3 linked regions of the Notamacropus eugenii genome follow. The protein of the gene in region 1 interacts with the protein of each later gene in a pairwise test. Links are inferred from orthologs where the notes say so. Each region holds a gene or a part of one and is shown in the gene's direction. Other genes may lie near its edges.

Region 1 (7,966 bases):
TCCGGGGGGGGAGGGGAAGAGGAGGAAAGAAACCATAGAGATGGATTGAGGTTACCTGGGAGGAGAGATCAGCCCACTGGGCAGCACCCTGATCATGTAGGGTGACAGCTTTGACTCCACCAAGAATGATGTTCTTAGCAATCTCAACTCCCAGGCCCCGGAGCCCAGACACCAGGACACTGGAAGTCTGAAGTCGCTTCATAGCATCGTGGCCCAGTACATACCTGAGAAGGAGATGAGAGCAAGGTCTAGAGCCCAGTCCCTGTCTGACAGCTTCTCCCCTTCCCAGCCCCCAACAGTTCCGGCCTCACAGCTGCCTGGAGTATAGGCCCTCGTCGATGTCTGCCTCGCTCCCGTTCTTAGCCATTCCCTGTGGACAAAGAAAGCGACAAAGAAATGCACAGGGTGAGGAGAGGCTGACCCAAGCCCTGGGATCCACTACACTACTGAAACTCAGTGCTGAACACTCACGTTGGCAGGTGCAGTGGGCACTTCAGAGGGAACGGGGTGGGCAGGAGAGCAGTTAGAACCTGGTTTTGGATCAGGCCCGGACACGCGACGCTTCTTGGACAGCGGCGAGCTGGACATCTAGGAGAGATAGAAAAGAAAGCTGTCAGAACTGGCCCAAAGAGAGGGAGGAGAGATCAGGGTGCGAAGTACAGCAATGAACCTGACATGAGGGAGAGGGGCTGAGAACAGGCCACCTGGGAAGAAGAGAACTATTCCCAGGAATGGGTGAAAGAGGAAGTCTGAGGAAAAGAAACAGTGCCAGAGAGTTCCAGAGCGTTAGGGAAGTCAATGAGCTGGTCCTACTGGGGGTGGAAAGGAGAGAAATATGAGAGCAGAGAGGCGTCCTGGGCAGGCAGGCAGGAGGATCAGGACATCTTCTTTTGGGCAGGGTTAGAGAGACACAGGAACAGATGGGGTCAGTGGGTAAGTCCAGGGGGCCCATCACGTTTGTGGGGAAAGTAAGCCATCTGCCAAGCAGAGCGGTGACACAGAGTAGGAGGGGGGAAAGAGGAAGCACCATTGTCCTGATTGGCCAAGGCTGTTGTCCTTCCTTTAGGGTTCTTCTCCCACTCCCTCGGGTGAATGTGGGGGGCAGAAAGGCCAAAGAGGCTTCCAAACCAACAGAATGCCAAGAAAGATGGAAGGAGGAAAGGGGAATGAAAGGAAGGCGCTGTCCAGGGTGCTCCTTGGTCTTATCTGGAGTGGCTGCCGGTAGGCCCGCCACCCACCCGCCCACCCATCCACCCAAGGCCCCGGCGTGGAGAGAGTGAAGAGGCAGGATTGATGCCCCCTCCCCCCAGCACCTCCGGCGGCCCCACCCCTCCGGCAGAATCCCGGGTGGGGCCCGACGATACAGTGGCCCCGCCCCCGGGGGGGGGGTGGAGAAATCGCAGCGGGAGGGGGGCTGGTGAAGGGAGGCAAATCCCAGCTGGGGGGGAGAGATCCCGGCAGTCTGGGGGGAACGGGAGAAGCGGCAGACAGTGGGGGGGGGGGAGGGGAGGAAGTAGACTGCGGGGATGGGGGTGGGGGGAAGGAGAAGAGATCGCGGTAGAGGGGAGGGAGGCCGGCAGCCGAGAAGGCAGGCCGGTTACCAAGGCCTGTTCCCCGGGGCCCGATCACCGCAGTCGCCGTCGCCGTCCGGTGCTCAGGGAACTCCCCCCGCCGCCACCCAAGGCCAGCCCCGGCGCCTGGAGTCTCAGCCCCTCCACGGGCTGCTTCGGTCCCAGACACAAGATGGCGGCCGCCGCCGCAGAGCCGGAACAAAACCCGCGGGTGGCTCCGCCCCCTGACGCAGGCACCGCCCAGTCCGAGGCCCGCCCCTCCGCCGGCCGGCAAGCCCCGCCCCCGTCCCAATTCCTCGCCCCCGCCGCAGGCTACAAAGCTGGCACATTCACCGAGAGCAGGGTTCCGGCGGCTTGGGGAGGGCACAAGCAAGTCTTTCCCCCGATCTCTTCGCCCCAGCGCCCGAGCCAATAAACGTGCGCCCCCGTCCTCACCCCCAAACTGCTCCCGCCCTCCTATCTCTGAGTGACACTGCCAGGTACCGCGCCAGGCCTCGCTCAAATCCTCTAGCAACGACGCCTCGCGCCTGCGCGCCCCGAAACGGGCCAAAGCCTACCCCTCCCCCCGCGGACCAGGCGCAGGTTCGCGCACGCGCCAGCCTGCGGCCCGTCCGCCCAGCTCGGCGAACGCCGGCATCCCTCCTCCTAGTCAGCTAAAAACGCACGCAATACCCGGTGGGGGGAGGGGGGAAGAGAACAAACGCACCTCCTACATTAAGACCCGGCCCAGATTGCCCCGCCCCTCCAAGAAGTCCAAATGGGGGCAGAGGCCCCGCCCCTAATGAATAATGGTCAAAAAAGACCCCGCCTCCTACGCCCGGGCAGCCACACAAGGACGAAACTCTCATCACTACCCCCCCAACTCGTGCCGTTTCATAAAAGCTCTCCCTGGGTCCCCTCTACGCCAACGCCAAGTCTCTCAACTCACCCCCTCCTCAGGCCCGGAGCCGCCGAGGCCTAGCCTTCCCCTAGAGCTGGAGGCGGTGCTGGAGCGGTAGCCAGAGCTAACTTTGCTGCTGCCGAGGAGCCCCGGCTTGCGTAGCGATGGGCTGAGCGCGGAACTTGGGGTCCCCGGGCCCGGAGCGGAAGGTACTATTTGCGTCAAGGGGGAAGGCTCACCCCAAATGCGACTCTCGCGGCCTATCCCCTGCTCTGACATTCGAGTGCACCCCATTTTCACCTCATGTCCTGTCAGCGTCCTAGTTCACATCAGATTCTGACTCTTTTTCGCCCATTCCAGAAAAAAACCGGCCCCAAAGTTACTGAAAGAATCCCCTGGTGGAGCACACGTGGTACGATCCAGGCTGGTCGCCGTTGCGGAGCCTGCTGGGAATTGTAGTTCAGCCCGCGCTGGCGCTTGACTGGAGCACGTGGTGAACACTATCCTAAACTGGGCCAGGGTGGGGAAGAGGTTTAGACATCTGTGGCGGAGACAACTTCCTACAAGGGCGCGAGCATTAGGGAAGGCTGGGAAATAGGGCGGGACCAATTTTGAAAATCATTCGTGGAGACTGACTGAGTTAAAATTCAGGTTCCAGAGACATTGACAGAAGTGGGGGGAAGGTACCTAGAGTTAAAGCTAAAGTGGGGCAAACCTAGAGTCTAAAACAGAAAATGGATGAACAGACACCGGTACAGAGACTAAAATGAGAGCAAAGATCCAGACACAGGGCAACTAGAGACTGAAAACCTGAAGGGAGGGGGGGAGAGGGGAAGAGACAGATCTAAACCCCAAACTTCTCTGCATTATGCGTTTGAGATATTTCCGGGGTTCTGTACTGAGTACAGATGACAAAGGTAGGGTTTGTCTGAGAGAGCAGGTAGAGTAAGACTTTGGACACCATCCAGTTCGATCCTCTCCATTTTAGAGATGGGAGCTTAAGAGATCTGTGGGTGACACGGTATTGTCTGTCTGAGGTAGAATTTGAACTCAGGTTTTCCTGATTCCAACTCCAGCATTCTACCCACTGTGCCAGCTACCTGCCAGATGAGAAATCATAGATTTAGAAATGGAAGGGAAGTTTAAAGTCATTGTATCAAACTCCACCATTTTAACAGTTGGGGAAAGGCACAGATGCCAAAAAGGTAATTTACTTGACCAAGGTCATTGTGTTCCTTCGTTGCTGAAGAAGACCATGCCACCAGAGAAACGATGACGTGACTTGCCCTTGACTTTGTTTTGAATGAGAGAGGGCTGTGCAGGTCACCAGCCTCACATCTCCTCCAGAACCATTGGAATCCTGGGTCATCTTCAGTCATCCTGAGGAATGTCTGGTCACTGGATTCATTAAAGGGGCCATGCCCTGGCTACTGCTTAAACAGTCCTATTCAATGAATGGGCATTAGTTCACCCTAAGTGAATACCTGCAAAGACCTTGGCCTAAAGGACCCAAGGTCCTGGGTCGTCTCCAAGATCATACCAGCAGTGTTAGAGGCTATGATTTGAACCCATGGTTCTTTGACTCATTCCTACTCCAATTCATCTTCCTCGGACTCCCGCCATGTATGCTCCATAAAAGAATCTCTCCAATGATCGTTTTTCTAAGAGCTTTCCTCAAAAGTTTTCCTTATTAATCATTTGGAGGGTAGAGATACTTCACGGTGTGGGTTCTTGCACCATGGAAGGCCTGGCTTTTCAGTAAGGTGCTCTGAAAAGATCGAGCCAACGGTCTGAGGACCAATATGCTTTACAATCCGGAGGAGCTCATCTCCAGTAAGTGTACTATTAGGCTATGGACTCCTTTTCCCTGTGCCTGGGACACAGTGCCTGTCACATAGTAGGCACTCCATAAGTGGCTGTTGACCTGAACTGAAAACAGTGGAGAGCCAAGAGAGACAAGGCATAGTCTCTACCAAAGTTCCTGAAAAGAACGACTAGGCATAGAGAACGTAGAAGGCAGGGGGTCAAGCCAAGCTAAGGAGTTTAAACGGAAGTGCAGCAGCGCAGCACGACCATTGTCGCTTTCTCCAGTGGCGCCAAAAAGGTCTAGTTGGAGCACGGTTCCTCCCTAATGGGCAAAGGGGCGGAACCCACTCGACAGTCTAGTCCCCCTCTGCCTTCCCCCCACCCCCGCTGGAATCACGTGAGGCGGGACTCCACCTCCTTCCCCCATGGACGTGGTGCAGGTTCGGCCAATCGCCACGCCCTCTGTGGAAGCAAGGGGCGGGACTCGGCGACTCAGCGCGGAGAATGCTCGGGAGGGGGCGCAGCAGCCCAACGGAGCGCGCCGGGGCCCGGGCCGGCCCGGGCCGGCTCGCGCCTGGGCTGCTGGGCCGGGAAAGGGAGGGGCGGGGCGAGGGATGGGCGGAGCTGCCGCCGCCGCCATCTTCGCTTGGTAGTTTGGGGCCAGCCAGGGGGAGGCAGCAGTGGGTTGCCCTGGGGCGGAGAAAGGGGAGAAGGAGAAGGAGAAGGAGGGCGGCGGCGGCGGGGGCGGCGGCAGCTTCGCCGGAGTCGTAGCCGCGCTTTCCTGCGGGCCCGGGCCCGGCCCCACTGACGGCGGGCGCGCGCGCGCGTGCCCGCGAGGGAGGCGGTAGCAGCGGCGGCGGAGGCCGGGTGATGTGCCCGAGCCCTCGCCTCACGGTCCGGACCCGGCAGGTGAGCGGGCCCGGCGGGGCTCGGGCTGGGCCGGGGACGGGGGAGGGGTCGGGGGCCCCGACCCGGCGGCGGCCACGGCGCCGGAGGCCCCCCGGGGGTGGGAGTGGGGGGGTGAAGGGGGGGTGCGGAATAGAGGCCGAGTCGCCGAGCGGGCGCGAACCTGAGCGAGCGTGCGCGCTCCCGGCGGTGGCGCCGCGCTCCTCTCCCCCTCCCCTCCCCCCGCCGTCTTTTCCCTCCTGCTCCCCCCTCCCCTTCCCCCAGCCCCCTCCTCCCTCCCCAGAGGCTGCGGCCGGTCTGGGGAGGATCAGATGGATGAATGACAGGAGCAGGCGGCTGGAGCGGGTCCAGATCGGGGAGGGCAGCTGGCATGGCCGCTCCTCTGGCCCGCTGGCCCTGCCATGTGCCAGACCCTGCCCCCGCGGGGCCCTTTCCCCTAAGCCCGGCTAGGGCAGCGCTGTACCTTGGGGGGCCGGCCAGGGCAGAGGTCAGGCTGATCGGGGGTGCCCCAGAGTGGGCTGCTCTGGCCCTGGGTGCCCGTAGCTGCTTCCTACCCCTTGCCTGGCGGCTTTTGAGAAGCCCCTTTATTAGCCTCACCTGCTGGGCGTAGGAGAAGACGAGGCAGCAAGGCCTTCAGCCCCGTCTCTGGGCCCCTGCAGTCAGGGCAGCTGAGCCTCTGTGTTTTCCGACAAGTGGAGCTGGAAGGAAAGTGCTGTGTAAACTTACCAGCTGAGCTCTGGAGGCCTGAGGGGTGAGGGCCATTCAGGACCTGCCTAGGGGGCGGGAGAGGGGATTGAGGGCAGAAAGGAAGGCACCTCCCAAGGCCAGGTGGCCTTTGCTCGCCCCTTTGGGCCACACCTGGCAGCACGATGGGCCAGGCCTCGGTCTTGTCCTCATAGAGTTCCCAGTCCCATGTGGCCCCAGGTTCTAGGGCAGCCTTCTCAGAATTCTGGCTTTACAGAATAGTAATAACTGAAAATAACAAGGGAGGGTCCCCCCCCACCCCCCAGTCTGGCCATGGAGCCCGGAGTTAAAAACCCCTGTTGTTCCAGAGGGGACAGGTGCCGGAGTTAAATATGTTTTGAAGGACACACAGGGGAGGGGTGCACAGGAACCTTCCTCCCCCACCAGAGGCAGCAGTGATCCTGGCCCTCACTCCAGAGTACAAAGGGGCAAAGCATCCAGATCAAGGAAAAGCAGAAAAGACTTGGGGGCCAAGGCTGAAGCCAGGGAGGCAGCATGGTGGCCTTGACCTTGGACTCTGGCTGTTCTTGGCAGCTGGGGGGCCCTGAAAGTCATATCCAATATTTCTCAGGCCTTTTACAATTCATTCACATGGACCCACACATCCTCCCCAGCAGCCCCCTGAGGTATGGAGTGCAACTAGTTCTAATCATCGTTTTATACAAGAGCAAACCAAGATGCAAAGATGCTTGGATGTTCTCAGCCAAGATACAGTGGCAGCTCTGGCTCTGACTCCTCATATCTCTCTCTCTCTCTCTCACTCTCTCTCTCTCTCTCTCTCTCTCTCTCTCTCTCTCTCTCTCCCTCCCTCCCTCCCTCCCGCCTTCCCTCCCTCCCTCCCTCCCTCCCTCTCTCCCCCTCCCTCCCCCTCTCTTCCTCTCTCTCTCCCCCTCTCTCCCTCCCTCTCTCCCTCCCTCTCTCTCTCCCTCTCTCTCCATTTCCCTCCCTCTCCATTTCCCTCCCTCCCTTTCCCTTCTCTCTCTCTCCTTTCTATCTCCCTCCCTCCTTTCTCTTTCTCTGTCTTTCCCTCTCTGTCTTTCTCCATCTCTTTGTCTCTCCATCTCTCTCTCCCTCCTTTATCTCTCTCCCTCCTTTCTCTTTTCTTTCTGCCTCTCCCTCTCCATCTCTTTGTCTCTTCATTTCTATCACTGCCTCCTCCCTCTCTCTCTCCCTGTCCCTCCCTCTCTCTCTCTCTCTCTCTCTCTCCCTCCCTCTTTCTCTCTCTCTCCCTCTTTCTCTCTCTCTCGCTCGCTCTCTCTCGCTCTCTCCCTCCCCCTCCCCCTCCTCCTTCCCACTTTCCCATTCTGGAGACAATCCAGATTGACTGCTGCTAGTTCTCGTTTTCTTCCCCTGTACCAAGGGTTAGGTAGCCCGCCCTGCCTGGATGGGCTCAGGCTGCCCCTGACCTCTCCTTTTTCTTTTCTGTCCCTCAGATCCCTCACGGGAGTTCTTGTGCAGGCTGGCGGAGCATGGTGGCAACAGCAGGGCTGGTGGCAGCTGGGAAGTGAGGCGGAGCCATCGGCCCAGGAGCAGGCCACCCCCAGACATGGAGTATGAAAGACGGTGAGACTGGGGAGAGGGCTGTCCCAAAGTGAGAATCCTTTGGGCCCTGGCAAAAACAAGGGGCATCTTTTCCCCTTGATTTTTCCCAAGGTTGACTTTGGGTTTTGGCTGGAGAGGGGTAGGGTTCCAAAACTGAATGATCTGGGATCATAATATTTTTCTTGGAAAGAGATTCAGAGACCATGTGAGATAGTAAGGTCTGATCCTGGCTACCCCCCATTCCTGAGACTTCTTGGCACTGGGCAGTAGCTATCTTTTCTAGAAAGCTCTTTGTACCCAGACAAGCCACCTTGGGCCAGTGCCATCATTCCCCCAGGATGCTCCAACACAGATGACAGGGCTCCGAGGAGCTTGACTGGGCCTTGAGAGAGAGAGGGCAGAGCAGGAGGCAGCAGTGCTGTGTGTCAGCTCCTCTGCCTGTCCCCAGCTGCCTTTGGCTACATGGGCATGTGATGGCTCTCTTTAGTAAAGTAACAACAGGAGCAGAGAGGTTTTG
Region 2 (7,574 bases), on another chromosome or scaffold:
TCTCTATATTTGAGAAATGAGTCCTTAATCAGAGATACTTGCTGTGAAATTTCCCTGAGCTTTCTGCTTTCCTTCTAACTTTGGTTGCATCAATTTTGTTTGTGCAAAACCTTTTTAATTTAATATAATTAAAATTGTCCACTTGACATTTTTTAATTCTATCTCTTGTTTGGTCCTAAATTCTTCCCTTGTTCATAAATCTGACAAGTAAACTATTCCATGGTTTCCTAATTTGCTTATGGTCTCATCTTCTATGTCTAAATCCTGCACCCATTTTGACCTTATCTTGGTATGTGGTATGAGATGCTGGTTTATACTAGTTTTTGCCATACTGTTTTCCAGTTTTTCCAGCAGTTTTTGTCAAATAGTGAGTTCTTGTCCTGAAAACATAGACCGTTGGATTTATCAAACACTAGATTTCTAAGGACATTTACTATTGTGTACTTAACCTATTGTATTGACCCACCACTCTATTTCTTAGCCAGTCCCAATTTGTTTTGATGACTTCTTGTTCAGTTGTTTCAGTCATGTCTGACTCCATTTTGGGGTTTTCTTGGCAAACATATGGGCATGGTTTGTCATTTCCTTCTCCAGCTCCTTTTACAAATGAGAAATTGAGGCCAGAATGGTTAAGTGACTTGCCCAGGGCCACTCAGCTAATGTGTCTGAGGTCAGATTTGGACTCATGAAGATGAGTCTTCCTTATTCCAAGCCCAGCATTCTATCTACTATGCCACGCAGCTACACCTGTTTTGATGATTACTACTTTATAATACAGTTTGAGATCTCCTAAGACTAGACCACCTTCCTTCACACTTAAAATTCCCTTGATTTTAAACCTATCTTTTTTTAAAGCACCAATATTTTTCTAAGTGATTCTATATGGCTGAGGAATTATGGAATTCTAATCTCCAGAGAATCAAAATTTCAGGTGACCTAAAAGCAAGAGAAGGTGCAAATAGGTTTTATTATTCATTGAATGAATGAATGGATGAAAAAGAAACATCTAAGTACTTAACATACTTAAGTGCCAAGCATTCTATTAAGCACTTAGAAATCTAAAAATTATAGTGTGACTTCCCTACCCTTAAGGAATTTATATTCTAGTAAAGGAAGACAATGGCATATAAAATAAATCAATCAATATTCACTGAGTACCTATTATGTGCCTGCAACTGTGCTAAGAGCTGGAGATATAAAGGAAGGCAATGAGTTTATAATCTAATGGGAGAGACAATATATAAACAAATATACACAAAACAAGTTGTTGTTCAGTTGTTTCAGTAGTGTCTGACTCTTTGTGGCCTCATTTTTGGTTTTCTTGGCAAAGATATTGGAGAGTTTGCCATTTTTTTCTCCAGCTAATTATTGAAAGTGGAATGGAGGCAAACAGGGTCACCCTGGTAAATGTCCGAGGTCAGATTTGAACTGAGGAAGATGAATCTTTCTGGCTCCAGGCCCAGCAGTCTGTCCACTGGGTTACTCAGATAAATGCAAAACAAGCTATATACAGGATTTATAATTAAGGAAGAGAAGTTACTTGAATTATTAGGGTTTGAGGAAGGCTTTTTGTAAATAGTAGGATTTTAGTTGGGCCTTAAAGGAAGCCAGGGAAATCAGTAAGTGAAATTGAGGAGAGACAGAATTCCAGGTCAGGAGGACAGCCAGAAAAATGCCTGAAGTGGAGAGAGATGGAGTATTTTATTTTATGGAATAGCAAAGAAGTCAATATCACAGGATTGGAGTACATTGTAGATATATGTAATAGAGTACATTACATAGAGTAATATGTAAGAAGAAAGTTATGAAGGGCTTTGAATGCCAAATAGAGCATTTTTTGTATCATCCTGGAGGCCACTGGAAGTCACTGCAATTGTTGTGTAGGGGGATAAGATGGTCAGACCTGAGCTTTTGAAGTAATCTAGGCATTTGATGATAAGAGTCTGTACCACATTGGTGGCAGGGTTAGAGGAGAGAAGAGAGAGGATTTGAGAAATGTTGCAAAGGTGAAATTGATAGGTCTTGGCAACAGATTGGATATGGGGGCATGTGACATAGTGAGGTTCTGAGCCTGAGGGACAGAAGTGGGGAAGGTAGGACAGGGGGGAGGATTTAGGAGGAAAGATTGTTATTATTCCTCATTTTCTTGGGCGAATTGGATTTAAGTGAGGCTGAACTGCACAAAGTTGCCAGCCTCACTATCTCTTCCCAACTCCTCTAAGTCCAGTGGTAGGACAAAAGTCAAGATGACTGACAATGGCCAGGATGAAGTGAATGACCTTGGCATCTTTGATGTCTAACCAAGCTCTAAGTGCTCCACATCCTGATGGGTGGTACAAATTGTTGTCACCTGATCATTCTGACAGGGAATGTTTTCACATACTTAGGACAGATATCCCCCTAACCTACTGATGGGTTTGAGGCCTGTTGGTTACCCTCAACCTGGTTTAGCCCTTCTGCTGAGAGGGTTTTAACCAGAGTATGACTGCTGCTCTTGCTATAGATTCTTGGAGCCACAGGCAAGAGTTAGGTGAATCGGGCAGATATCAAAAGTGCATGAGCAGTCCCGAAAAGCAAGTCCTCACACCAGAGGTGCTAGCCCTCCTTTAACATCCCATACAACTCAGAGGGAAAGATAATGTTGAGTTTAAGATATCTACTGGACATACAGTTTGAGCTGTCTGAAAGGCAGTTACAAGGACATACAAGATTGGAGGTCATCAGAGAGGCTGGGGCAGGATAGGTAGATTTGAGAATTAATTTGCATAGAGATGCTAATTAAATTCAAGGGCGTTAATGAGATCACCAAGTGACTTAATATAGAAGGTGGAGTGGTTAGAGGATGAGGTCTGGATTAGGAGCCAGGAAAGGATCCTTATTAAGACTGGGTGGCTAAGGAACAGGAGTGTTCGGGGAATTCACAAGGATAACAAAACTTTCCAGGAATAATGGTGTTGTAGAAGTACTAATTGGATCAAGGTTCCCAAAGCAAAAATGCCATACAAGATCTCAGAAAAGGGGAACTTGGCATGTACATAGTGAAGAGAGATAAGGAATGTCTAAAGGCAGATTTTAGTTCCTAGAGGGTCTCTCTCTCACTGGTCCCTTTTAGAGGATTTAAGGGAAGTCGGAGATTAGATACACATTGGATACAACTCTGTTCACTGGTTTGATTTGTAGCACTTGAAGGAGTAACCAGAAACATAACAGCCCAAATGCATTTAAGGAGGTCTGGCAGCATGTCTCACCTTTGCTTATTCACTTTTGTATCCCTGAATGTAATATATAATACATACAGTTGTAATGTAGAGAGTTGTATTTTAATAAATATTTGTTGAATGAGTGAATTAATGCAATGTTTTTTTTTTTTACTGGGTGCACATTGAAGAGCTCCTCCCAGATCCTTTTTCAAAGGGGGGGGGGGGGGGCGGGACTCAGGAAGATACCTTATCATTTTCTCTGGGGCTGAAAGTCAGTAAACATTAAGTGCCTACTATGAGTCAGGCATTGTGTTAAACTCTGGGGATACAAAGAAAGACCTGAAGGAGCTCACATTATAGTGGAGGAAGACAACACATAAAAGAAAAGCTGAAAAGGGGAGTCGCAGTAGGTAGGATGAGTACCTAGCTCTTAGGTATGGGCATGATGAAGTTTTGTAGTTGGAAGTGGGAAGTGATCTAAGGAGGTGTGTTACAAAGTTGAATTTATCTTTGCAGAATGGTCAGTTTCTGTTGATATCCTGGAGATCCGTAAGGGATGAGGTGGATTCCCTGGGTGCTCTCTGTAAAAAGTGTGTGATCTAGAAGGATGTTCATCGTCTAACCTCCACACTCAGCAATCGGAGGGAGGGAGAACCTCGGGGGCAGGGATACGAGCGAGGAGGTGTGAGTTAGAGTTACAGAGTTGAATTCCTCTTGCAAAATGATCAGTTTCTGGAGACAATGAGAAAGTGCAGCAGCAGCCAGGTGAAAAATGAAGGGTCTGCTAGACTCCCCCAACCCCCTTAAACAGAGGATCTTGGGAGAGCCCTTTAATGTCTGACCTTGACTCCTTCCAACCAAAGGGCCGGAGGGCTAAGGGGCAGTGGTGCGGAGGAGGTGTGTATTACCGGGGTGAATAGTCTGGCAGAATTACGTGGCCGGAGACAATGAAGCCGGCCGGTGGAGCCCCCAGTGGGAAAGGGAGGAAGGCGTAAGTGGCCGAGGGTGCCGGGGAGGTGTGAGTTGCCATGCTGATGCTGTCCTGGTCTTCACTATTCCTCTCCTCTGACTCCTTCCCTCTCTTGCCTCCGCCCCCATCCCACCTACTAGGTGGTTTTCATGTGCTGCCTTTCCCCGTTAGATTGTAAGTACATGGAAGGCACTGCCTTTTGCCTTTCTTTGTGTCCCCAGCGCTTAGGACAGAGCCTAGCACGTGGTAGGCGCTTTATAGGTGTTTACGGATTAACTGACTTCTACGCTTTCGCTCCTTCTGCTCACATTAAATTTCTGGGAGAACAAAATGCAGAGGCACAGACAGGGCGCATGCGCAGGAGTCCTAAAGTAGAGGAAGGGGCAGATTTCCTCGAGGAAAAAAGACTTTATCGAGTCGGGCGACCGAATGCGCACGCGCTCCAGATTGCCTGGCGGAGAGGGGCGGGAGGAAGGGGAGAGCGCGAGCTCCGAGAGTGGAAGGCGCATGAGCGGGCCAACTGCAATTCGGTTTGTCTAGAGACCCCGGGGGGAGGGGGTAGGAGTGGCAGCCATTTTGTTGTAGGCTTGCTCTGAGTTGGAGGTTTTTTTTTGACCCCCCCTCCCCCCTTTTTAATTTTTTTTTTTTTTTTTTTACCTCGGGAAGCGGTTGTGGTGCCGAAGGAGACCTCCCAGGCTCGGCTGGGGCCTTGAGACTCGGGAGCCGCGGTGTGTGTTTATAACCGGGTTGTGAAAGAACTACGCTGCAGGCTCCAGGAATGGTGGGAGGGGTCCGGGCCAGTGGTGGGGTAGGGGGATGGGGGGGAGGAAGCGGGCCGAGGCCGAGGCCGAGGCCGAGGCGGGGCCCGCCCGCGCCGGAGGAGGAAGCGGCGGAAACGGCAGCGGCCGCGCAGAGAAGTAACCGCCGCCACTGCTGCGGGCCGCGCCCCCGACCTGAGCGCTGTGCCGCGGCTGCCGCGGCTCCCGCGGCGCGGTCCTCCCGATCGCGGGCAGCCGCTGCCCGTGGCCCTCTCTCTCCATTTTTCCCCTTCCCCGCACCCTCTCCGTGTTAACACGCTGCTCTGCTTTCGGGGGCCGTGGCTCCGGCCCGCCGGCGTAGTGACGGTCGGGGAGGCCCAGGCCCGCCTCGATTTCGGGGAGGGAGGAGGCGGCGGCCGCGCGCCTCCCCTCGGCTCCCCGGAGTTAGGTAGGATGGAGGTAGCAGGGCGACCTTGGCCGAGCCGCGGGGTAGGGGTGCTAGCCTCCCCGGGGGGAGTGAGTGACTGAGTGCCCTCGGGCCGGCCGGGGAGACGGACGGAGGCGCCTGCGAGGTCAGGCTTGATTGGCCCCGGGGGCTAGTCCTGGGCCTGGGGGACGGCGTCGGATCCCATCTGGCGACCTTGGCCTGGCGGGAACGAAGGAGCCGCTTGACTCTCTTGGGAATGTGGACGGACTCTAACGGCATTTGGCTCTAGAACTCGTGGTAATGGAGGCCCCTGGAGGACCCCCCCTTTGAGGAGGATGGAGGATGTTGAGGGGAACCCCGTGCACCCCGAGGAATCCATCGTCTCCATTACTTTCTTGTGTCTATCGGAGACTAAGGCTCTGGGCAGTCAGTGGCTTTGGCGCTCAATTGGGGGAATCGTTCCCCAAGACACCCAGATAGGCAGTCCACCGATCCTAGAAACTAATTGAGAATGGCGAAGGAAGAGAGCCCCGTAGAGTTGTGGGATCAATCACGTTTGATCCGAGAGCCCGGGAGGAAAATCACGGTGTAGTCGTCAAGTCTGGAAGCCAACTTGGTGTTCTCGGTAGGAATGTAGAGTCGCACTGATGCCAGAATTGAAGGCTGGTTGTTTTTGCCTGTGTGGTTTTGGGCTCAAATTGGAGGAAGGCTTTAATTTGTTAATTTTGTATGAGGGACTGGTGAATGCATTTTTTGCGTTTAGTGGTTGTGTAATAAACTCGGATGTCTTTGTTGCGGTTCAGTTCATTTTTTAAATGAACTTTTTTGTAACCTGCCTCCCCACTTCAAGATTTCATTAGCTCTGAAGGTTTTGTCGTAGTGGACCAATCTGTGTGTAACTCTAAAGAAGTAGGCAAACTTAAATTTCTCTGCTTGGTTTTCAGAGTACAATTGAATATGTCTTGTGTGACTGTCATTTTGTCTAACCTTTTTTTTTTTTGTATGAGGGTAGACATAAACATGGAAACAAAGATGCAACTTGGTTTTGAAACTTTTCAAAGTTTGTCTTTGGATGTGCTTGGCTAGTCTGCCAAACAGGTTTTACTGTAGTGTTAAAAACTTGCCCTATCCCCAGTATCTTAAGACCAGAATGTTTTCATGAAACACACTGGAATGTTTGGTGTAGCTGTGGTGCTTCGTTAGAATACCACCTTGCTATCATGTTTCAAAAAAAATCTGATATAATTCTGAAGTGGAATCATTAAGTGTTTATTGAACTACTTTGTTAAAATGACAGTGTTTTTAATAACAGTGTCATTAGATACTGTTTTAAACCTGACACTTTTGCCCCTAGTACCATATCCCTTTAGCCTTTAATTTTCTTTAATATCTTCAGGGAGTATAAATTTATGCTCAAGAAATTAATTGATTTTACTATATAACAGGCACATTTTAATCTCACTAGACCATGTGTTCTATAGTTAATGCTGTTTTTCATCTGTTTTAATTACATAAAAAAAGTTTTTTGGAAATTGTGCACACTAGAGAATTCTGTAGTTATGCATAGACTCAATGCCAGAGATGCTTGTGTAGAAGGTTTATAACTACTTCAGAGTGCTCTAGATATTGCTTTATAAAAAGAAAAGATTAGGAATATTCCTGGCAGTTTTTTTCTTGGTGGCTAGTATAGTTACAGTAAACTTCATTAATTTGAAATTCATCCTAATTCAAGACAAAGACTAAGTTAAATATTTCTGTCATGAAAATATTAAAGGGTGAGGGTGTGAGTCAAACAGTTTTCAAGTTTCAGTTTTTTAAAATATGAAGTTAATTACAGAAGACATTTAATTGGACATACTTTTAGTTTTGCTTGGCTTGCAAAGTAGTAAAACCACTTTTCTAAAAACATTCCATAATTTGAACTTTTGACTAATTTATACTGCCCTTCCTTTAAACCCCCTTCATTGACAGTAAGTTTGGTGTAGTATAAAGGGTACTGGCCTTGGAATAGAAGGCTTGATTTCAGTTCTGACCCTGGCACTTATTTGTGTGACCATGGGAAAGTCACTTCAACCTGCTTGAGTTTTTCTGTAAACTGCATCTCTCTTTGTGATGGAGATAAAACTGCTTGTACAACCTATCTTACAAAATTATTGTGAGGAATATTCCCTGTAAAGTTGAAGTGATATGCAAATGTAAAATATTCCAAATTAATGTGA
Region 3 (7,834 bases), on another chromosome or scaffold:
ATTCTCCTTGGCAAAGAGACTAAACGAGAAGAAAGAAAGGCGTTCAGGAGGCTGCATGAGGCTACAGGGCTGAGCAGTCATAGCCATGGAGGGCAGGTCCTTCCGCCACAGCCCCAGGCACCCCCTTCCCTACCTGAGCAGGATGCAGTTCTCCAGCATGCCTCTTTTTCTGCTCTCATAAAGCAGGCGAGCCCTCTTGGTTTCAATGGGTTCATCTGTTCGCTCTTCCCATGGGGGTAAGGGGATTTCAAGCATATCCTTTTGAGAGTCTGATGGGCTGTCCCCTCGGTAGAATCGTCTCAACAGTGAACTAGCCACAAAGGGAGACACAAGAGTGTGCCTGGACAAGGCAAGAAGCTGAAAAAAGAACCACAAACAACCCAGACTGAATCAAGCTGCATGAAATTCAATTCAATAAATATTTATTAAATGCCTGTTTGCCAGAGACTGTACACTAAAAAGAATGTGCAGATTCATAAAATGCTGAACTTAAATGGGACTCAGCTGACCATGGGTAGGATGGACTGAAAGGGGAGTAATTGGAGGCCGACAGACTAACTAGCCACTACTCTAGGTAGTGTTTAGATGCTCTAATTTAACTCAACAAACATACAGCTGCCAGAGTCAAGGCACAGAGCTAAGGGCTGAGGATACAAAGGCAAACAAAGGCAGACTGGTCCCTGACCAGGACTGACTGGTAATCAATGCGACAAGTAAACAGAAAAACCTAACAAAAGGGATCTCCAGAAAGAGAACAGTAACAGGCGGGGGGAGGGAGGTAGAAGGGCCATCTGAGTGGAACACTACAGGAAGAAGAAGGCTCTTGGAAAGGTAAGGATGAAGAGGGAAAGCCCTCCAGGGATGGGGATGTGTGGATGAGAATGAATGCAATGCAGTGGGAGCCACTGGCGGAACAGCTGGCAGTCCAGTTTGACTGGAATAGAGTGTGTCAAGCAACAATGTGAAAGCTAGGAAGGTCCTTTTTTGGTTCTTTGTACATGGAAGTATTACTGTTTGTCAAGTCCATAATGAAGAGAATTTACAGGATTAAAAAAAATAAATCTGGAAAGAACGGTTAGGGCTGTTTTCACTGCCAGGGAGAATTTGTATTTTCTCCTAGAGGTAAGAGGGGATCAGCTGCTAAGGTTTTAGAGCTGGGGAGCAACAAGGTGACGACTCATGGAGGATGGAGCAAGACTGAGAATGAATGGAGGAGAGACTGGAGACAGAAAAAGCGCCTGGGAGGGGATAAAAATTGTCCAGGGTAGCAGCCACAAGGGCCTGAAAGAAAAATATGCATGGGAAGGGAGGAGAGGGAAAAGATGTGAAATCCTGTGTAGACAGGACTGGGGAAATAATCCAATAAAGAGGCTGAAAAAAGTCAAGCCCCCAAGGTTATGAACCTAAGGAAACTTAATGTGGAAAGCTTTGGTGTTCTCAGCAGAAACTGAGTCTGGAGAAGGGCTTGGTTTGCAGGCAGATGAGAAGTAGGGCGGTTTCATGGAAGAGAATTTGATTTACAGTCAGAGGACCTGGATTTGACATTTGGAATAGAAATTTCCACAGGCATGAAAGGACACTGGACTAGTAGAGAGTCTTTCAGAATTCGTTCTTGCTCTAGATTCTGATCTCCCACCATTCCTATTATCGTCCACTCTTTTTATCTCTCTCCTTGGAAGAATTTGGAGTTGGAGGAGCAGGCTTATTTTTCTTGGGCAAGTTATTTAACTTCACAGCTGATCGATGGTCCAAGAATAGGAACAAGAAAATCCAAGCTATCTGTAGCTATATGGAAAACTGCTCTAAAATTACTAATTAGACATGCAAATTAAAGCAACTGAGGTTCTACCTCAGACTCATCAAATTGACAAAGTTGACAAAGAAGGGGAATGACAAATGCTGGAGGGGCTGTAAGAAAATAGGCATGAAAGTGCATAGTTGGGGAGGCTGGAATTACAGCCTTTGACTCAATAATACCAGTCCTGGGACAGTGCTCCAAAGATCAGAGAGAAAAAACGTCCTATGCCCACAGAAATGTATGACAGCACTTTCTGTAGCTGCAAAGAGCTAGGGGGTAGCCATCAGCTGGGGAATAGTGTATGAATGGAATGGAGTACTATCGTGCTACATTTGTATACCTACTATGAGCTAGGCTATTGTTGCTGGACACAGCTGAACAACTAAACAATAAGCCAGGCCTTGTGCTAAGGGCTTTACAGACACTGTCTGATTGGATCTTCATGACAACCTGGGAGACATAAGCTGGGAGGTAGGTGCTATTACTATCCCCATTTTATGGATGAGAAAACTGAGGCAAACAGTGACTTGTCCAGGGTCACACAGCTAAGTTATATGAGGCTGCATTTGAACTCAGGTCTTCCTGACTCCAGGCCTAGTCTTATATCCACCCACCAGAATTTATACAATAAACGCCAACAGCCTGAGAGGACTGCGGGACTAAATCTGCAGAAAGAGACATTTCTGGACTTGGCTGACATGGGAATTTGACTATGCTTAGAAGGTGAAATAATAAAGGCTCAAATAAAAAATAAAAAACAAACCTAAAAACCTCCTCGAGACCTCAGCTCTTCACCTGTGTAATGAGGAGATTGGGTTAAAATGGTTTCTAAATTCCCTTCCAGCTAAATCTCCTATGAGCTACCAAGACGCACAAACGGAGTACCAAAGGTGAAGTGATGTGCCAGAGAGGAAAGTAGAAATGTAGCTTCCAGATAGATGAGGTCCCATGTGAAAGAGGTCCTGGCCCCACATGTGTGAGCACATGACAGAAAGGGACCTAGCTCCCCATCTGGTATGGGACTGTACAACTGGCGTCCACCTTGCCATCACAATCCAAATGCTCGAAGCCTTGGGAGGGCATTTCTTCTTTCAGCCTTTGGGTCCCCTTTCTCTTGGTGCATTCTAGTCCAGTGTCCAAATGGACAACCACAACATGAAAGAATCTGGAGAGCGAGGCATGGTATCTTAGGGAGGGCTCTCACAAGCAGCCTCACGTCATTTCATGGTCTTGGTTGAAGAATGAAGCAAGAAGTAGCTATCCAAGGGCTTCCCTTTTAGCCTTTCTCTAGGTTCTGATCTCTAGGGTACATCCTTCCAAAGAATATTCCCTCTAATTGTAGATTCAACTTCTTTTAGAAAGAACACGAGGAACCAAACACGGTGGTGTCTGAGCTTTGGGCAGCTCCTTCGGTTTCTGGTTGAAAGCCACCAGGTACTTAGTACCTTCCTTACCAAATCACTGTTTATGGTGCAGCCCCTGGACAGCTCTTGTAGCTGTTGGTGAAAACCCAACCACCGGGGAGGGCATCCCCTTCCAGCGTCCCTTTTCTACTCAGACTCCGTAGAATCAAAGAATTCTGCGTTGAAGTCCCCAGTTCTACCGTGGAAGGAAGCTGGCCACCCAGAAATTCCATTCTGCTGGGCTCCACAATTTGCATGTTAAAGGCAAACTACCGGGCTGTCTTTCAATCCAACGGTCATCTGCATCTTAAAAGAGCCTTTCAGACTGACCACCATTTTGTGGGGCAGGGAGAGTTTAAGGGAAACTGCTAGAGATTGGTTAAAACAAAAAGTAGGAGGTGGTGAGGAAGTTACCAGAGGATGGAGCCGCTGGCACACACAGTGGGGCTGGAGCTTGAAGGAATTTGGTTACAATGTATATACTATGTTGCGCTGTCACCTGACTCTCACGGCCCCTTCTGGGGTTTTCTGGCAAGGGGATGGAGGGGTCTGCCATAGATGAGGAACCTGAGGCAGGCGGGGGGAGGCGGGGGCCCGGGGTCCCCCCGGCTAGGAGGTGTCTGAGGCACTCGCCCCCCTAGCCGGAGCTCGTTCCGTCCCTGGAAGGCCCGCCGCACCCAGCTCGGTGCTCACACCCCGCTCCCACCCGGGCCTGGCGCCGCCGCACTCGGCCCTGCCTCCTCCCCACCAGGGCTCCTCCGCAAGCACTTATGTGGCGCCAGCTGCATGCTGGGCACAGTCCCCGCCCTCCAGGGGCTCACACCCGTCAGGACAGACGGAAGGTGGCGTGGGTGACCCTGGGGACGGCCCGGGGTCCGACCTAGGGGTGGAAAGGGGGGTGTCCTCGGCTTCCAGGCCCAATCCGGCCCCTCCCTCCTTTCCCAGACCCCGGCTTCGTGGGATGGGGGAGGGGCGGTCGAGTCTTTCTCTGTCGCTGGGGGGTCCGAGGCCACGGGAAGGGGGAGGGGCCCCTCGGGGCCGCCTAACCCAAGTGACAGACCGGTAAACTGAGGCCAAGGGGGCGGCAAAGCGCTTCACAAAGCTCCCTCGATCCTGGCAGCCACCCTGGGAGGGAGGGGCCGGCGGGATCCCCACAGGGCCGACGAGGCGACGGGGCTGGACTGGACCCTGCGGAGCCGACACCGAACCCGGGGCGGGCGGGTCTCCGTTTTACACAGGGGGAAGCCGAGGCCCGGCCCGGTGGCCTGCGGCTCCCCGGGTCCTCCTTCCAGGCAGGGCCGCTCGGCCCTTCTCTCCGGGACTCCGCGGCCTCCCCCCGCCCGGCCTCTGCCCGCTCTCACCCGAACTGCGGGAGCAGCTGCAGCCGCCGCCGCCGCCGCCGCCATTTCCGCTCAGGCCCGGCCGGAAGCCCGTCTGCTCACCACATCCGGGGACCTCCCGCAGGCCCCGACGAGCCCGAGAGGCCTCGGAGGGGAGGTGGGAGAGGCGGCTCTGGGCGCGCGTGCGTGCTGCGTGTGTGCGTGTGGCGGCGGCGCGCGTGACGCCAGCGCGTGGCGCGGGGAGGGAGGGGGACGGCGGCGGCGGCGGCGGCGGCGGCGGGAGCAGGGGGCGGGGCCTGCGGCCGGGCAGAGGTTCGCGCGCTTCGGGCCTAGTCCGGACTCGCCGCCGCCATATTCCCGGTAACGGGGGCGCGCGGCCGGGGGCGGCGGGGCCGGGGCGCGGAGGCGGGGGCGCGGCGGCGACGGCGGCGCGAGGGGTAGCGGGGCGGGCGGGGCTGGGAGGGCGGGCGGCGGGGCCGGGCCTAGGCCCAGGCTGGGACGGAGCCCGCGCTGAGGCGGCGCTGGGGCCCGGTCAGTCCGGGGCGGCGCGCGGGGCGGGGGCGGGGGCGGGGGGAGGCCCGCGAGCGCCAGGGGAGCAGGCGGGGAGGCCGCCTGAGGGCCTGGGCGCCGGGCGGGCCTAGACCCCGAGGGATGGGGGAAGGGCGCGCAGAAATCGGGCTGCGTGGAGGAGAGGCCCCCCCTCGGAGAAAGCGGGCGGCGGGCGGGCCTAGGCCGGGAGGGAGGCCGGGCTGCGTGGAGAGGAGCGGGGCGGGGAGAGGCCAGGCCGGCCCCCCCTCCGCCGCTGCCCCGGCCTGACTCGTGTCCCTCTCCCCGGAGCGCAGCGGCACCACCGCCACCCTTGTTCCTCGCGGCGCCGCCGGGGTCCCAGAGCCATGTCGGAGGGAGTGGACCTGATCGATATATACGCGGACGAGGAGTTCAACCAGGTGACCCCCGACCCAGGGTGGGAGCTCGCCGGGGCTGGGGGAGGAGGGGGCGGAACCGAGACCGCCCGCGTTGGGAGGCTGCTTTATCCCGGAAAGAATCTTCGGGATGGAGCCCGCGATCCCCCCGCGTTGTCCGGCCGGAGCGCTGCGGAGAGCCTGTCACCTGGGCAGGTGGGGAAGGGGCAGGGAGGGATTTCTAGAAGGTGCGGTCTAGCCCTTGCTTTACAGAGGAGGAAGCTGTAAGGGGGATGCCGCCAGGGGTCACCGCGGTCCGGGCTGTTAACTTAGTACGGCCTTTAGTCCAAAGCTCGGAGCCTGGCCAGCCCCTGCGTTACCCAGGGGTAAACTGAGGCCCAGAAGGCTGCGCTGGCGTCCTGCGAGACATCGGTGGCCGGGCTGAGGTCCTAGTGGCCCGCGGGATGGGCCATTTTCCGACGCTGCTACTTTGCTTACCTTTTAAAAGCCTTCAGAGTCAGACTGTCTGAAGAAGGGCATCAGTCACACCGGAAACATTCTTCCACTTCTCCTGTCAAGTGGGTGCCGTGTGCCTTCTCACTCACAGAGCTGTAGATTTGGAGCTGGAATGGGTCTTGGGACCTGCCTCTTCCAACTCCCTCATTTTACAGGTGAAGAAGTAAAGGTTTTAGCTTGCTCAGTCCCAGCCAAGTATAAAACAGTTGAGTGGGTCTTTGAACCCAGGTCTTAAGACTCCAAATCGGGCACTTTCCGCTGTGCCCACAGAGCAGCCCATCTGTCTTGTCCCTCCTCTGTCAGGTGTTGGCACGTTTTTCTGAGCTGTGTAATGAAGAGCACAGAAGAGAAGTGGTCTTGTGCTGGACTAGTTTTCTCACCTCTCTCTGTTGGATTCTGCACTAAGTTGCATGTAACTTAGAAAGGCTCTTTTCTAGCTCTCCCAGAGACCAAGGGTGGCTGTGGGGCAGCCCGGCTGCCTGCCATGTGGTGCCAGAGGCACTGAGCACGAGCTGATGGAGAGCCAGAAGGGGTTGAAGAGGTTGTCCAGTGGAAAGAGGGTTGATCGTATTTGTTTGACTGCTGTCTATTTTGGAGGAGGATGGGCATTTTTAAGGCTGATTTTCTTGTAATCTGGACTTGCTGAAGAAGAAGTATAAAGTATTTGCCTCATTAGATACAGGGTTGGATTGAAAGCAACCAGAGTAGATTGAGTGTAGGCCCATGTTAGGTGTGGTGTTCGTGAGGTAGCATAAGAAGCCCATCGATGTCTAAATAGAAACTCCTTCCCATATGCCCTCTGGTTCTTGGCATAAAGCTTGACATTCTGTGACTGTCTCATGCAAAGCAGGCAGCATCTGCCTTACCACAGGTGGACTTTGGAATCCTAGCTTTTCCAAGATTTTTTTGTTTTTTGTTTGGAAATCTGGGGTCCATGTCAACTCCAATGCTCCATGTATAGGTGCTGAAAGAGCTCTGATTGCTTGTGTTTTGGGGGTGAGTCACCAGTGCAGTGGCCTCGATTGGCTGCTTTGTTGAGCCATATGTTCCTGTGATTCTTCTCCTGCTAAGACAGTTTGGTTGTAGATGCTATGCTCTTTGACAACAAGAAACCATCGTAAGCTTGGCCCCAACAGGGAGGCAGCACCGGTGGCTCCATCACGCACATGTATTGCACTCTGGTGTTCTATAGAAATCTCTTAAGTAAATCAGGAATGAAACCATCTTGTCAGATCTGCTTTCCTTGGCTGCTGGGCCACAGCCTCAGGGGTGGCCTTGGGCCTCGTTTCTATATGGTTGCCTGTGGTAGCCGCAGCTGTGCCGCATTCACTGGATCATAGAGGTTGCTGCTCAGTCCTGGGATGTGGAAGGACCTTCATGCTCTGACTTCAGAGATGCCAGTAACTCTGAGTTCATTTTACTTTCCATTTGGGGGGGGGGAGGTGACACAAGCATTTATTAAGTGCTGGGCACTGCTTGATTTTAGCAGACTAAGGGTTAATCCAGTGAGAGCTTTGGGTGAAATAATGTAAGCCCCAAGGGAGCAGATTGTGGTGGAGTTTTTTTTATTGGTATTTCCCTGCCCCTCAACCATTGCGTCTGGTACGTAGTAGGTACTTCATAAAGGTTTTGTCAGTTGATTAATGTTAAAATATTCCTACCTACAAGCATGTGGGAGGTCACCTTTTTATTGTGTTAGACAGAGCATTAAGTAATTCTTGTTTTAAGTTTTTACAACTAGGAGTGCTCTGAAGGTTTGTGACGTCTGACCTATATGATACTTAATGTAGCACTAAATAACAAAGGTATTAGCTAATTTGGCCCCAGCCAACCATGACACATTTCCATTCATGTGGTCCCTGTTCTGTTCGTCTC

The links.
Region 2: the proteins of RBM10 (region 1) and RBM12B interact in a two-hybrid assay, tested with the Homo sapiens proteins (3 studies listed by BioGRID). The link is inferred for Notamacropus eugenii from reciprocal best matches to the Homo sapiens genes RBM10 and RBM12B.
Region 3: the proteins of RBM10 (region 1) and CPSF7 interact in binary tests that used the Homo sapiens proteins (3 or more experiments, as listed by UniProt). The two-hybrid records come from large-scale screens. The link is inferred for Notamacropus eugenii from reciprocal best matches to the Homo sapiens genes RBM10 and CPSF7.

What each region holds. Positions count from the first base shown.
Region 1 is NC_092879.1:101,862,873-101,870,838, forward strand, and holds the start of RBM10 (RNA-binding protein 10), read left to right. Parts: upstream 1-4,919; 5' UTR 4,920-5,166; intron 5,167-7,340; 5' UTR 7,341-7,453; coding exon 7,454-7,470; intron 7,471-7,966. Other genes in the region: UBA1 (ubiquitin-like modifier-activating enzyme 1), read right to left, coding at 56-224, 312-370, 472-588, 2,500-2,745. UniProt on the Homo sapiens protein: Binds to ssRNA containing the consensus sequence 5'-AGGUAA-3'. May be involved in post-transcriptional processing, most probably in mRNA splicing. Binds to RNA homopolymers, with a preference for poly(G) and poly(U) and little for poly(A).
Region 2 is NC_092875.1:159,460,464-159,468,037, forward strand, and holds the start of RBM12B (RNA-binding protein 12B), read left to right. Parts: upstream 1-4,529; 5' UTR 4,530-4,700; exon of another isoform or gene 4,701-4,898; intron 4,899-5,107; exon of another isoform or gene 5,108-5,652; intron 5,653-5,919; exon of another isoform or gene 5,920-5,980; intron 5,981-7,574.
Region 3 is NC_092873.1:12,981,515-12,989,348, reverse strand, and holds the start of CPSF7 (cleavage and polyadenylation specificity factor subunit 7), read left to right. Parts: upstream 1-4,803; 5' UTR 4,804-4,901; intron 4,902-5,031; exon of another isoform or gene 5,032-5,072; intron 5,073-5,383; 5' UTR 5,384-5,434; coding exon 5,435-5,488; intron 5,489-7,834. Other genes in the region: SDHAF2 (succinate dehydrogenase assembly factor 2, mitochondrial), read right to left, coding at 1-19, 134-357, 4,563-4,607.